Linked DNA regions of Notamacropus eugenii. The protein of the gene in region 1 purifies or fractionates together with the protein of each later gene. This does not show direct contact. Links are inferred from orthologs where the notes say so. Each region holds a gene or a part of one and is shown on either strand. Other genes may lie near its edges.

What was found. Proteins that work in one complex are often made in the same cells at the same time.
Region 2: the proteins of CMTR1 (region 1) and DHX15 purify together in Homo sapiens (co-immunoprecipitation; 3 studies listed by BioGRID and IntAct, with this or other methods). This does not show direct contact. The link is inferred for Notamacropus eugenii from reciprocal best matches to the Homo sapiens genes CMTR1 and DHX15.

What each region holds. Positions count from the first base shown.
Region 1 is NC_092873.1:95,171,883-95,178,916, reverse strand, and holds the start of CMTR1 (cap-specific mRNA (nucleoside-2'-O-)-methyltransferase 1), read right to left. Parts: upstream 3,102-7,034; 5' UTR 2,960-3,101; intron 342-2,959; 5' UTR 337-341; coding exon 204-336; intron 1-203. UniProt on the Homo sapiens protein: S-adenosyl-L-methionine-dependent methyltransferase that mediates mRNA cap1 2'-O-ribose methylation to the 5'-cap structure of mRNAs.
Region 2 is NC_092877.1:77,379,279-77,386,497, forward strand, and holds the start of DHX15 (ATP-dependent RNA helicase DHX15), read right to left. Parts: upstream 3,063-7,219; 5' UTR 2,788-3,062; coding exon 2,717-2,787; intron 1-2,716.

The DNA of each region.
Region 1 (7,034 bases):
ATAGGTAGTGCTATACTTCAATCAAGAGAATGGCAGCAGGAAAAGGAAGTCTACATCCAGGCTTGGAAAAACCAATATTGCTTAAGTCCTTCTCTCTCTGAACTGGTTCAGTTTTCCAAAAGGGATCACAGGCCGTAAATTTTCCAGTGCTCAGTCAACAGCATTCCCGATGGCCAGGTTTCACATTATGTTGGCAGCCTTACCTTGTGGGCCATGACTGCCAAAAGAAGGGGGTTCCTCATCAGAAGTAGAACTGAGGGTCAAACCCAGCTCAGCCGCTCTTTTCTTCTGCTTCTTCTGGGGGCTGCTGAACTCTCCTTCTCCTCTTCTCTTCATTGTCACTGCAACCACAAACCAAAAAAAGAAAATAAAAAGGAAAAAGGCAGTTGCCTCCCTCTGGTTCAAAGCCACATTAACAGGAGATGATAAAGTCTGAGGGTACAAACACATAAACCACCTAAGGGATAGAATTTGACAATTTTTATCATCTTCCAGAGCCAACACTCCAATGACCTTCTTTTGGAATGAATCTCAGATGATGGCAACCAGGATCCAGTTCTCATTAGTAATTAATTTTATGTGTATTTGTAAAAATGCAACACAGACCCAGAGGTGACTGTCACGTCAATTCCAAGTTCTTGACCCAAAAAATTACACATTAATTCTCCATCTCTTAGTGGTCACTATTCACATGGACAGTTCATATTTTTCCATTCTACTGAATGACACACTAGGATTCAATCTGTTGGGATGGGTGATGACAAAGACAAATTTATAACTACTAACAGCAAGGGCTCTGAAAAACAATTGGGTAATCACTTTTATTTTTACTGACAACTGATTTTTGGCTTGTTTCAACATGAGCTTAAGCATACAGAGGAATTAGGAAACTTTTCTAACAATCAGAGCAGCATTCTATCCACTAGTTGGTTGGTTTAATGCCCATGGTATAGAAAGCAAGTACTCTGGACATGAGGTTGGCACACAGCCATGGTACACAAATGGCTAGGAAAATGGAAATAAGCACACATCAAGCCACTATTATTTATTTAGAGCTAGATACTAAAGGAAAAAAATATCAGAGAGGAACAGGGGGCAATGACATCTAAATATCCTAACAGAACAATCATCTTTATTGAAGAAGATACTGAGTTTAACAAATTGCGGTCCACAGATTCTAGAAAGCCTTCTACACAGCTCAGACAGATGGAAAAAAGGAAAGTGAAGCAGCAGACATAAAGCCAAGAAAGTTTCAGACTTGGCAACAACAAAGGGCAGGGACCAAGTGGGGATTTGGGTGTTGGTCACAACATCTATTACATTTGGAAGCAGTGACAGCAGTAAATAGGTGAGCAGGCCAAAGAGCAGCTGTCACTTTCCCCAATGACACTTCCCAGAGCCCTGGATCAATTTACCTTACTGTCTTGTCTCTTTACCTGTAAGATTAGCCAGTTAGATGCTACCTCATAGTAATACTGTGTGGCTTACCTAGTGACCAAAAATGTACTGAGAAAACCGTGTGTGACTCCCTAGCTCAGCTCTCACCCATGTATGCTAGTGTTGGCTTTCAATAAACATCGCGTGGTTAGCCTTATCCCTGAATTATGCTCTGTACTTCAAGGATCCAAAATTTCATTTGTGTGGGTCACCCTTCTGCTGATGCAGATCACAAACCACCCCTACACAAGCCTTACTGGATATCTTCACTATATATATATTATATATATACACACACCCACACATACACACAATGGTTAGCCTTCTAGCATTTTGTCTCTCCGCTTAGCTAGACTGGTCTCTAAGCAGCAGACACAGAGTCTGCCTCTGGACCCATTCTTGGAACCTTTTTAGCTTGTTACGGCTAGAGTTTGGACTCTGCTGGCATGGCCTTGGAAGGCTTAAGGCCTTCATCACGTCATGATAAAGCATTTGGCTGCTAGGGAAGCAGTTGTATTCTGCAGTATATATTTAATTCAATTTACTGGTGCTCACAGATAACCAGCACTAAAATAATTTTTCCAGATTTTTCTTTTCCTTTGTAAAAAAAAAAAAAGATTGGCCAGTTACAGTCTCATTCCCTTCTGGCTATGACAGCTGTTTTCTCACTTCCATGGGGGAAAAGGGGGAGCAAACAGGAACTAAGAAGTGTCGATACGGGAGCCCCAGGAGTCACCCTAAGTTCTGAAGGATGGAGCTTCAGGAGGGGTGCAGTGATTGGGGACAATCCTGGCGATGCACCCCCGGAGGATGTCAGGTTTAAGGGGTTAACGAGATGAAACTCCTCTCCCCCAACTCTGAGGGCTCCAGGTGTACAGGAGGAGAGGAGGCAGAGCCGCTGCCTGTCTAAGCCGGGGCAGAGGTGCTGGTCAACAGAAGGGATCCTGACATTCCAGAAGGCCAGGGCTGGACAGGGCCCTGAGGCTCAGGCAGCGAAAGGAAAAACGAAGTGCAGGAGAACCGCGGGGAAGGGCGCGGCTAAGTCCAGCTGCCTCACCCGCACTGTTCAACCTCAGGCCCTACGGAAGACCCCAGGCTTCCACTCGGACCCTAGCCCCAGCCCCTCCCCCCACGCCCAGAGGAATGTGCCCATCTCCAAAGGTGGGAAGGCCAGCTGAGGGGGAAGGCAGGGGCTGCCGCGCTAATACCTAAGGACAAACACGGGGAACAGGCCCGGAGGGCACGGGAGGGCAAGGGGCGGGGGAGGGGAGGGCACAGGGGGGCACTGACAGGAGGGGGAGGGAGCCCACCAGGGCCGAGCAGCGCCGCGGGGGGGAGGCCCGCGAGGGGGAGGAGGACCGGAACCAGAAAGGAAAGCAGAGGGCCTGGGGCGCCGGGCCCGGGCCGGCGGAGGCGGGTCGCGGAGCCGGGCCTCTCAGTCGGGCCGCGGTGAGCCGGAAGGCGAAGCCAAGCCCGCCCCGATTCCCTCCCGCCCTGGCCGCGCCCGCGCTCCGGCACTCACGCTGCGGGGTGGGGGCGAGCTGACGGGGAGGGGAGCGAGGGGGAGGGGGCGTCAGGCCGCCAGATCGCGCCGCCGCCGCCGCAGCCGCCGCCGTCGCCGTCGCCCGGCCCCAGTTTCGTTTCCTCACAAAAGCCGCCCCCGTCGCGGGGTGACGTCACGCGCCCCGCCTGGCCGCGGCGCGGAGCGATGACGTCATCGGGGCCTTGATGGGCCCCTCCCGTCATGTAACAGATTCAAGGTTTCGATACGTGCCAGTGGACCCTCATCTAAAACACCCCACCCACCTCTGTCTCTTCGCGAGGCCGCTAGGCGGCGCAATGGTAGAGTGCCAGGTCTGGAACTGGGGAGCTCTGAGTTCGAGTTTAGAGTCAGATGCTATGAGGTTAACCCAGTTAACTGCTGTCTGCCTCAGTTTCCTCAGCTGTCAAGTGGGGATCATTTATCATAATAAAACTTGTTTGGTGGTTTTGAGGATCGGGTGAAATAAGATTTCCTCTTCCCCCATGACACTCATGTGCTGCAATTTAATGTAGCCATTCCCCTGTCCATGGACTGCTACTTTGTTTCCAATCCTTTGTCATCCCCAAGAAAGAACTGCTGTAAACAGGTGCACTTAGGGTCTCATCTGAACGGACAACTTTCCCAGTCTTAATCAGTTGTAAGGAAACATGTCCTGCGCTGAAATCTATTGGATTCATTCCTATCAAGCAAGCCCTAACCAACTGCTACATGGAGGTGCTTGATCAGCTCAGGAAGGACTCCTCCCTGATATCAATCAGTTAAACAATAGGTGGTGTAGTGGATATTCAGCCAACGCCTGGAGTCAGGAAGATTCATCTTCCCGAGTTCAAATGTGACCTGAGACACTTACTAGCTGTGTGACCCTGGGCAAGTCACTTAATCCTATTTGCCTCAGTTTCCTCAACTGAAAAATGAGTTGGACAAGGGAATGAGGAACCACTCCAGTATCTTTGCCAAGAAAATCTCAAATGGGGTCATGAAGAGTTAATTGGATCTGACACAACAAACATTTCTTCATTAAGTACCTAGTAGGTGCCTGACATAGTGCTAAGTGCTGGGGCTACAAAAGAGGTAAAAGACAATCCCTGTCCTCAAGGAGCTTCCCATCTAATGAAATTAGAGTCATAATGAATAATTCAACTATAAGCAGTACCTCTTTGCTCTCAACCCTTGACCAGATTGAATGGTTTAGGGGAAAAGTAAGTTACTGTTTTTCTGTTTGATGCATCAAAAACTTGTTACCTAAACTTGGTACCCTTGTTAATTCATGACAAAAGAATTCTGTCTTTGTTCTTGAACACAATGAATTGAAAGCGAAAAGTTGGGTCATATTTTCAAAAGCATGATGGATCTCTATCCCTATAGGTTTCTCATTCACTAAGCAAAGGTACTTTGAATTTAATTAATAATCTCTTTTGTTTCTGAGAGATCTGCCAAAAACACAAGAGTACTGAATTTTTCTTTCACAAACTTAACACTTTTCAAAGTGCTTTTATGTATATTGTCCCATAAGTCTCACAAAGCACAGATGTAACCAGGTACTGTCAGGTCAAGAACATACTACAAGACTTGAAAAAAATTTAGAAAGAATTTTTATTAAGTCATTTGGCAAAGGAGAGAGAGCCAGAAAAAGGCGTGACTCCGCTCTTGAAATTGTTAATTGTTAAGTCTTCACAATACAGAGAATTCAAATTAAGTCTTAGAATACATAGAGTTCAAACTAGGGCATAAGGACAAGCAGCTGGGTAGCTAGCATGGAAACAGTCACTTTCCAGAAAAGGGTAAGGTTACTTGAGATGCATATCAGCAGGTAAATGTAAACATTCAATATAATTTTATGGTTGTTGTTTAGTCATTTTCAATAGTGTCCAACTCTTTGTGACACCTTTTGATCTTTGGGGGTTTTTTGTTGTTTTGTTTTGCTTGTTTTTTGACAAAGGTACTGAAGCAGCTTACCATTTCCCTCTCTAGCTTATTTTACAGATGAGGATAATGAGACAAACAGGGTTAAGTGACTTGCCCAGGGTCACAAGGTGAGTAAGCAATATAATTTGGGTGAAGCCAAAACACAAGCTATTAGGGAAGCCATGACCTGGGTTCCCTGGAGAGTCTCTGAGGTCAGCATGCCCCATGATTTCAGGCTAGGCAATTTTCTAACCATATAAAGCTGTGTTCAAACAATATTAATAATTAACAAACTATTTCCCCCAGTAGTAATCTAACAGCAACTCAGGAAAACTGGTATGGTAGTTCATCATCTGCAGTCTCTCCTTTTGCAGTTTCAGAATATAGACTGACTTTTAAAATAAGTGTAGAAAGTCATTAGTTACTAGAAATTTGGAAATTACACCTGTGTTATAGAGTTTAACAGGCTGTACAGCATAATGTCTACTTCTGATAACCTTATATTTGATAGTAAACAATAAAAAATTTTATTCTACTAATACAAGGGTTCTTAGCCACGGGGTCCATGTTGCTTTTATATTTTGATAACTGTATTTCAGTATGATCTATTTCCTTTGTAATCTACATATTTTATTTTATATATTTTGAAACATTATTCAGACAAGGGATCCATAGGCTTTACCAGACTGTCAATAGGGTCTATGGCACACACAAAAAAGGTTAAGAATCCCTGCATTCATAGGAGAAAGGAAACCAGGAAGAATACAAGAAACATGAAAAGGTCTCTCTCCATCATCTCAACAATCTACATCCATCATTCTCCCTCTGTCACTGAATGCACTATAATGGCTCTGAGTCACAGAAGCCAAGGGTACATTTATACTTGTGAATATTACCTAAATCTGATTAAAATGTTTTCCTTTCTTGGCTGCTAGATGATTTTTATGTCAAGGCAATAAATCAATTTTTATGGTGTTCTGCTCCATAGAAATTAATGTAGACCAGGGGTTCTTAACCCTGGGGTCTGTAAGCTTTTTTTTTTTCAAATACTTTTATAACTATTTTAATATAATTGCTTTACTCTGTAATTCTACATATTGTATTTTATACCTTTAAAAACATTATTCTAAGGAGTCTATAGGTTTTACCAAACTGCCAAAGGGATCCATGGCACACACATACACATACACACACACACACACACACACACACACACACACACGCACGCACCCCAACAGTAATATTAATAACATTTATATAGCTTCTGCTATGGACCAGGCACTGTACTAAGAATGCAAAATATCTTCAAACATTTTATAAATATTATCTCATTTGATCCTTACCACAATCCTGGGAAGTAGGTACTACTGCTATCCCCATTTTATAGTTGAGGAAACAGACAAACAAAAGTTGTGACTTGCCTAATGTCACACAACTACTAGGTATCTGAGCACAGATTTGAACTCTTACCTTTCTGCCTCCAGGACAGGGGAATCTTTCCACTGCTCCATCTAGCTCTAAAGTACTGTTCCCTGTGTCATAATGTAAGGAGTATCTCCCCCGGGGAAAGTCACTGCTAGATTGGATGCATGATGAATGGTGATAGAGGGGAAGGGTGGCATTCTTAATGGAAGATAGAGGTAGTCATAAAAAATAAAATAGATCATTTATATTATATGAAATTGAAATTTTCTGCATGAAAAAGATCAATGCAACCAGGATAAGAAGAGAAGCTACAGACTGAGAGAGAAAAAAAGATGTATATCTCTGATAAAAGTCTGATTTCTTAGATATATAGATAATATTTAAGAACAAGAGCCATTCCCCAGTGGATAAGAATTGTTCCAAATCACTGATTTTAAAAAAGTGAATCAAAGCAATTAGAACCATCCAAAAGTAGAAGGGGATAACCTAGCTAATAGTGAGTTCCTCCTCATTGAAGCTATTAAAAAAGAAACTGGTTGATGACTTGTCACATATATCATACTGGGAGTTCTTTTTTGTGCATAGAGTGGAAAAGATGACCACTGAGGTCTCTTCCAATTTTAAAAACTTGTGATTACTTTGGGCTGGATGGGGCCACCACTGGCATGGCCATTGTGGTATTGGTCTACAAGGCTGCTCTGAAGACAAGCGCAGAGCTGGGGAC
Region 2 (7,219 bases), on another chromosome or scaffold:
GTTGGAGCACTGGAAGGGGAATACAAAAACCAACAGAGGAATGACTTCATTGCTTAGTTACACCAACAACCTTCAACTTGGGATGCAGAATATCATTCATTTCACAAGTATTTCTTAAGTACCTATTATGGGCAAGACTATCTGAATGAATTTTAAAATCCATACTATCTCTTCTCCAAGAAGATAACAGGAAAACAATCTGAGCAAATGTGTCGATAGAAATATGACCTCCAAAAATTCTGCCTTCCAAATGGGTGACATTAACTTACCCAAGGTTTCTAGAAAAAGAAAAAAACCTTAAAAACCCAATTATGCTTCTGGCCTCAAAGCCCAAGTTGCAAATATGAGACTTTACTACTTCAGATCTCAAAATACTAAGAGTTAGAAAAGCAATGGGTAAAAATGCAAAAGAAGGTGGTCTAGCTGTGCCAGATCTCAAACTGTATTATAAAGAGGTAATTATCAAAACAATCTGGTACTTGCTAAGAAACAGAAGTATATCTCAAACTATATTTTATAAAGCAGTAATTATCAAAACAATCTGATATTGGCTCTGAAACAGAGTGGTGGGTCAGTGGAATAGATTAGGTACAAATTACATTATAGTAAACAACTATAATCATCTAATATATGATAAATCCAAACATCCAAGCTTTTGGAACAAAAACTCATTTGTCAAAAACTGCTGGGAAAACTGGAAAACAGTTTGGCAGAAACTAGGCATAGACCAACATTTCACACTGTACATCAAGATAAGGTCAAAAGGAGTATGTGATTTACACATAAAAGAAAGGGTGACCTCATAAGCAAATTAAGAGAGTACAGAACAGTTTATCCGTCAGATTTATGGATAGGGGAAGAATTTAGGATCAAAGAAGATATTAGAACACTACAAAATATAAAATAGATCATTTTGATTATATAAAATTCAAGTTTTGTATAAGCCAAACCAAAGAAACCAAAATTAAATAGGAAGCCGACAACTAGGGAAAAATTTTTTGCAGCAAGTATCTCTTACAAAAGTCTCATTTTTCAAATACACAGAGAATTGAGTCAAATCCATAAATGTACAAGTCATTCCCCAACTGATAAATGATCAACGGATATAAACAGCTTTCATATAAAAGAAATCAAGGCTATCTATTGCCATATAAAAATGCTCTAAATCACTACTGATTAGAGAAATGCAAATTAAAACAACTCTGAGGTACCTCTTTACACCTATCAGAGTGGCTAATATGACAAAAAAGAAAATTTTGGGTGTTGGAGGGCATGTGGTAAAACCTAGATACCAATGTTCGGTTGATGGGAGTTGTGAACTGATCCAACCATTAGGGCTACCAAACTGTGAATACCTTAGATCCAGCAATATCACTGCTAGGTCTATATCCCATAGACATCAAAAAAAAAGGGGGGGTGGGGGGTGGAGAAGGGCCCATTTGTACAAAACTATTTATAGCTGCTCTTTTTGTGGTAGCTAAGAGTTGGAAGTCAAAGGGATGCCCACCAATTTAGGAATGGCTAAACAAGCTGTAGTATATAACTTTAATGGAACGTATAAGTAATGACAAACAGGATGATTTCAGAAAAACCCGGAAAGACTTATATAACTGATGCACAAAGAACCGAACAGAACCAGGAGAACGCTGTGCATCGTAACTGTGAATGACTTGACTATTCTCAGCAATAACAGTGATCCAAGACAATCCCAAAGGACTAAGGACGAAGCACAACAGCAGTCTCCGGAGAAAGAGCTAATACTGACTGAACAGAGACTGAAACACGCTCTTCTTCACTTTTTTTCATTTTTTTCCTGTCGTCTTGTTCAGAATGACTTATAAGGAGATGTTTTAAGTAACTGCATACGTATAACCTACATCCGATGGCTTACCGTCTCAGGGTGGAGGAGGGGAGGAAAGTACAGAATTTGGAACTCAAAACGTGAAAGAAAAATGTTTAAAAATGGGACAGAAAAGAAGATAGCAGCGGAAACCACGAGGGGTGCTTCCACGATGACCAGGATCAACCCTTCCAACGAGGACAGGGAAAACCCGAAGCCCGCGGGAGCGCGGCTTAAGAAGCGGAAGTTGTCCTCTTTTAGCATCCACTTTGAAAGACTTTGAATGGATCCGCAAGCCGCGTCTCCGGCTGGGGGCTCGGCCAGCGGACACGGACGGACATACGGACGTACTCACACTCACACCAACACAACTCACCACGCGCGCGCCCTCCCCGGCCCACACCCGGCCCACGCGCCGCTCTCCCTTTCCTGGACTCGGCCTCGGGTCGCCCTGACAGGCCTAACCCTGTCCCCCGCGGCCCTCAGCTCCTTGGTCCTCCGGAAAGACTGCCGGAGGAGGGCGAAGAGGAATTCCCGGGCCTGAGAGAATCGCTCCGGCCACGAGGCTCACCGATCCCACCCCACCCCCTCCCCGGGCAGGCCTTGCTCCCCAGCAGCTCCGAAAGGCCTGGGGAGGGGAGGGGGGGAAACTCGTGCCGGGCCCTTCGGCCTCCCCGGCTAGGGCTGGGCCTGGAGTTGGCGCCGCCACCCGAGAGGGTTCCCGTGAGAGCAAAGCCTCCCCCGGGCCGCCTGCCACGGGCCCGAGATCCGAAAGAAAATACCGGTGATCTCGGGCCCAGCCGAGACCTCGTCTCTGCCCGCCCCAACATCAACAAAGCCCGGCGCCCCCTCCCGCCTCGGGCCGGCCTCGCTTACCCATCGCTCCCCGCACGTTTCTTGCCGGAGGGATAATCTTCCCCTAGGTCTAACCGGTGCCGCTTGGACATGGTCGCGCTGGCACAGCGGCGATGGAAGAAGGAGTTTAAAAAGGGAACGAGAGGAGGGGCAACCGGCGGCAACAGGGACAAGGGCGATCCTTCGTTCCGGGAGCCCCCCCCCCACCTACAACAGCCTCCGCCGTGCGGCCGGGACCAGAAGGCAAAATGGCGGCGGCGGCAAGGACCGGGCCTGCGCGCGCGCCTCCGTCGCGTGCGTGCGTGCCTGGGTGCGCGCGCGCGGCGTCCCGCTCCTCGCCGTTTCTCTCTCGCTCATTCGTCCAGCCGACCGCCGCACAACCCCGTCCCGCCTTTTGCTAGGAAGAGGCGAGGAGGGGGAGGGGCAAGAAATAGCCCGCCCTCTAGGCTTGTCGTGATGGGGCACGTAATGCGAAAAGGCTGCTGGGAAGATTACCTCGGTGTCACCTCCACCCTCAGTGAGGAGGAAAATCTTGGAGAAGTGGCGGGAGGGGGTGGGGGAGAAACCCACGTGTTGTGGAAAGTTGGGTTGAATGAAAGGACGGGGCTGTCCAGGCGCAGAAAGGTGGAGTCCCCCCTCCCAAGCTCACCTTGCCACATTGTTGCCAGCTGAGGAGCGTGGGAAAGGACCCCCTCCCCCTAGGAGCCTAAGTTTCCCCATTAGCTATTGAACCACAGAGCCTCCCCATGGGAAGCGACCTACCTCCCAAACCATCCAGCCAGTGAGTCTATCCGCAGGTACTGGCAGCGCGCTGGGCGATGGGCCAACTCAGACCTGAACTAGAAGACCCCAACTTTGAATGAGGGGACGCTCCCTCCCTCCAGAGGTAACCCGTTCCAAAGGAGGTGAACCAACACTGCTCAAAAGGAAAAGAATTGAAATAGTCAATAAGCATGAACAGAGGCTCTAAATCACTACAGATAAAGGAGAGTCAAGCCCATGCCAAGCAAATGTTTCAAAGTGGACAAAAGATGGAAATAATTAATGTTGGAGTATTGCGGGAAAGTAGGCACACTACTAATCCATAGTGGGTGGAGCTGTGGTTCCTTCTGCAAAGGGACTTAGAATTTTGAAGTAACTAATGTGTCAGTATCCTTTGATCCGAAGATCTGAGAAATATTCCCAGAGGGTCAAAGATAGAAAGTCTCCCTGTGTGTAAAAATGTTTATGTCAACATTTATAACTACTCCAATAAAACAAAATTTGAAACAAAGTAGGCTTCAGCAGGTTGGGAAATAAAGGGTGGTACAATAGAGTATTGCTCTGCTGTGAGAAACAGTTTATATGAAGAATACAGAGAAACATTGGAAGCTTTTAAACAAACTGATGGAAAATGAAATAAGTAGAACTTAGAAAATAAGGTGCACGGATTGAAATAGGTAGGTGGTCTTGAGGATAGTCAGGAAAACATAAATACAGATCTTGTCTCAGACACTAGCTGTGTGGCCCTGGGCAAGTCCTTTGACTTCTCTCAGCCTCAGTTTTCTCATCTATAAAATGGGGATAAGAATAACAAATATTCCACGTAGTTGTGAGCCTCAAATGAGGAAGTATATGTAAAATGTTTTGCAAAAAATTTAGTTATATGTTTGTATATAGTTTTTTTATTATTATAGCAATATAAATGGAAAGAATAGAAAACAATGAAAATGAATGCCATGTTGAGTATAATGACCAAACTTGACTCCCAAAGATGTAATAAGACTGCAGTGGAGAGTTGGTAGACTCTAGGTATGGAATATTAATTACTTAATGATGCCTTTATAAAGTGCTTAATCTGTGGCACTATGGTAAGTGCTAGGGATGCAAAGCAAAAGCAAAAACCTAAAATAGTCTTTATCTCACGGAGCTTATATTCCATATACTGTCAGACTCATTTAATGTGTTGGTTTTGGAGAACTGGTTTTTTTTCTTTTTCCTTTTGTAACAAAGGATGATTTTCTGAGTGGGAGCGAGGAGAGGGATGTATTTGGAATTGAAGATGATCTAAAAATAAGAGCTAATTTTTAAAAAGTAAATCTCTCTTTAAAAGAAGAAAGTTGCTGAAGTGGAGCTTTAGACCTCGCAATGAGGTATAAAATCAATCATGGAACTTCAAAGCACAAATAAAGCCATTATGAACTTTAAAAGAAAAAACTTAAGACAATAACCCAGTTTTATGCCTCTAGGCTATTTTTGAGCAAAAGTTTAGGAGAAAGACTGTGATAATCCTAGTGTGTCCCATCAGATTGGTCCCAGATTTGAACTATTTTCTGCTCTGAAAAACATCAAAATAAAGTGGAAAAGAGCACTTTCATCTAGCTCATCCATAAGAATTGTAGGAGAGACTCTATGAAATGCTCTACAGAAATATAAATTATATCAGTATTTTCCTGATCTGCCAGTCTAGTAATCATGTCAAAAAAAGTTAGTCTGGTATGACCTGTTCTTGATGAAGCCATGCTGGTTGTTCTCTTTTCTTGAATTCTGTCTCAAATGAATTACTAGGTGTGTTCTTCCTATATTTTAGCTCCTATCTGTGTTATCTAGCATGGTAGACATACACTCACTGTTTTCTCCCACTCTCTTTACTTTAAAGTGTTTTAGAAAGAATATTACTAGTATAATACTGTCTACCCTGGCCTGAAGTCCAGAGTTGTACAATACCCTTAAATGGTGTAGGGTATTTAGGCTCCAGCCCCACCAATGGTGTTTCTTCCAGGGAGTGATTCTTTACATCCCAGTTCTGTTTAGCTACATATCTATTACATTTGCCTTTATAAGGGAATATTTGTTTCAAAGGTATAATAACAAATATACAGGCATATTCTCCAACAGGCAGAAAATAATTCCCCAACTCCCATTTTTCACTACCTCATATTCTGGGGTGAGGAGGAAGATTAGATTCATAGCTTAGCTCAGTTCCTATAAAGCACGGTCCAGTTCCAAGTCCAAACATACTTCAGTCTGAAGTCCCAGCCACCCTGACTTCTCCAATTTTCTGTACCAGCCTGGCCAACTGCAACATCTCACCTGGACTCCTGGCTCCAAGGTAACTATGGCTTGAGCACTCGCACTAATGGGGATCACCACTGGCACCTGAAACTAAGAAAGACAAATGATGCAGAACAAGGACCTCAGACCTGTTTCTGGGAGGCAGGGTAAGAGTATATCCTCTTCCCAGTTAAGTTCATTGTGCCCAGCCCTTTGGTGACTTGGACCCTCTGGACACAGCAGGAAACAGTGAGCTTGTAAAGAGAGACTCTCAGTCTGGCTAGTTTTAAAGATGTAGCCTTTTCTGGTCACATAACCAATAAAAGGAGGCTACATCCACTTACATGGTAGGAAAACACCGGAGGCAGAGTATGCTTCCATGTTAGGTAATCATAGTATGACCAGGGTAAGCCCTTTACACTAGCAATTTTGGGACCCAAGCAAGCTTCACAAAATGTGCTTTAAATTACCTTTTTTAAAAACCAATTCTGCTGGGAGATAGAGAAAGACTTCAGGGAAAAGACTGTGATGGTAGATACCCTGAAGGCTGAAAATTCCACCTTGGGGACTGTTGGGTTGGGAATGAGGGTGGGAATGAGAGCAGAAAGCTGGTCACTTGATGGTTTCCTATTTTAATTTCTTTCATGCTAGATAGGTATTAAACTCAGTTGTTTCTATGCTGCTGAGTGAATATAAATGCTGTCAGGTCCTTCTAAATTTATGGTTTGATCATTCTTATTTGCAACTCTCCTGGAAGCAAAAACTAGATGATCACCTGTCAGGTCTGCTGAATAGGGGACCCCTGTTCGTGTATGCTTTTAGATTAGATAACTTCTGAGGTATCTGCCAAGTCTGGGATTCTACGATTTCTTGAACAAACTTTCTTTTGTTTCTATCAATTACTAGAGCTAGATGGAAAGTTGAAACAGCACTAAGGAAAACAAGGTTGGAAAAAGCAGTGATGCTTTGTAGTCCAAGAATGCATAGATATTCAAATTGGAGGTAATACAATTTTGAGAGCATTGAGGGATTAATTCTCAAGATACCTGAAAGAGGGGAGAATTTCCCAACGGGGGAGGAGAAATGATTACCAAGAATAGGTAACTAAGAAAAATATCAACAATTGCTGATCTAGAGGCCTCCTTTCCCACCTCCACAAAATCTTTCTGAGCATAATTCGCACTTACCTCAAGGAGATCTCCTTGATGAGGTGATGAGTAGTGAGCTGGCAGACCATCTTTGTACAATTGCTTAGTTGATTGAAAGACCCTGCTTTTAGTCAAGATCCTACTGGGTTTATTGTTTATTAACTATTAAGAAAGGAAAACATGATTCTATAGAGTAAAATGTTTTAAAGGCTTTCCTCCAACAGGATTTGTATCCCCTGTATCTGTCAAATTCACATAAAATTCCATGAAAAAATGTAACAAAAGAGATAACTTTGTTTCTAAACCCTGTAATCATTAATATCCAACAAGACATAAAATAAGA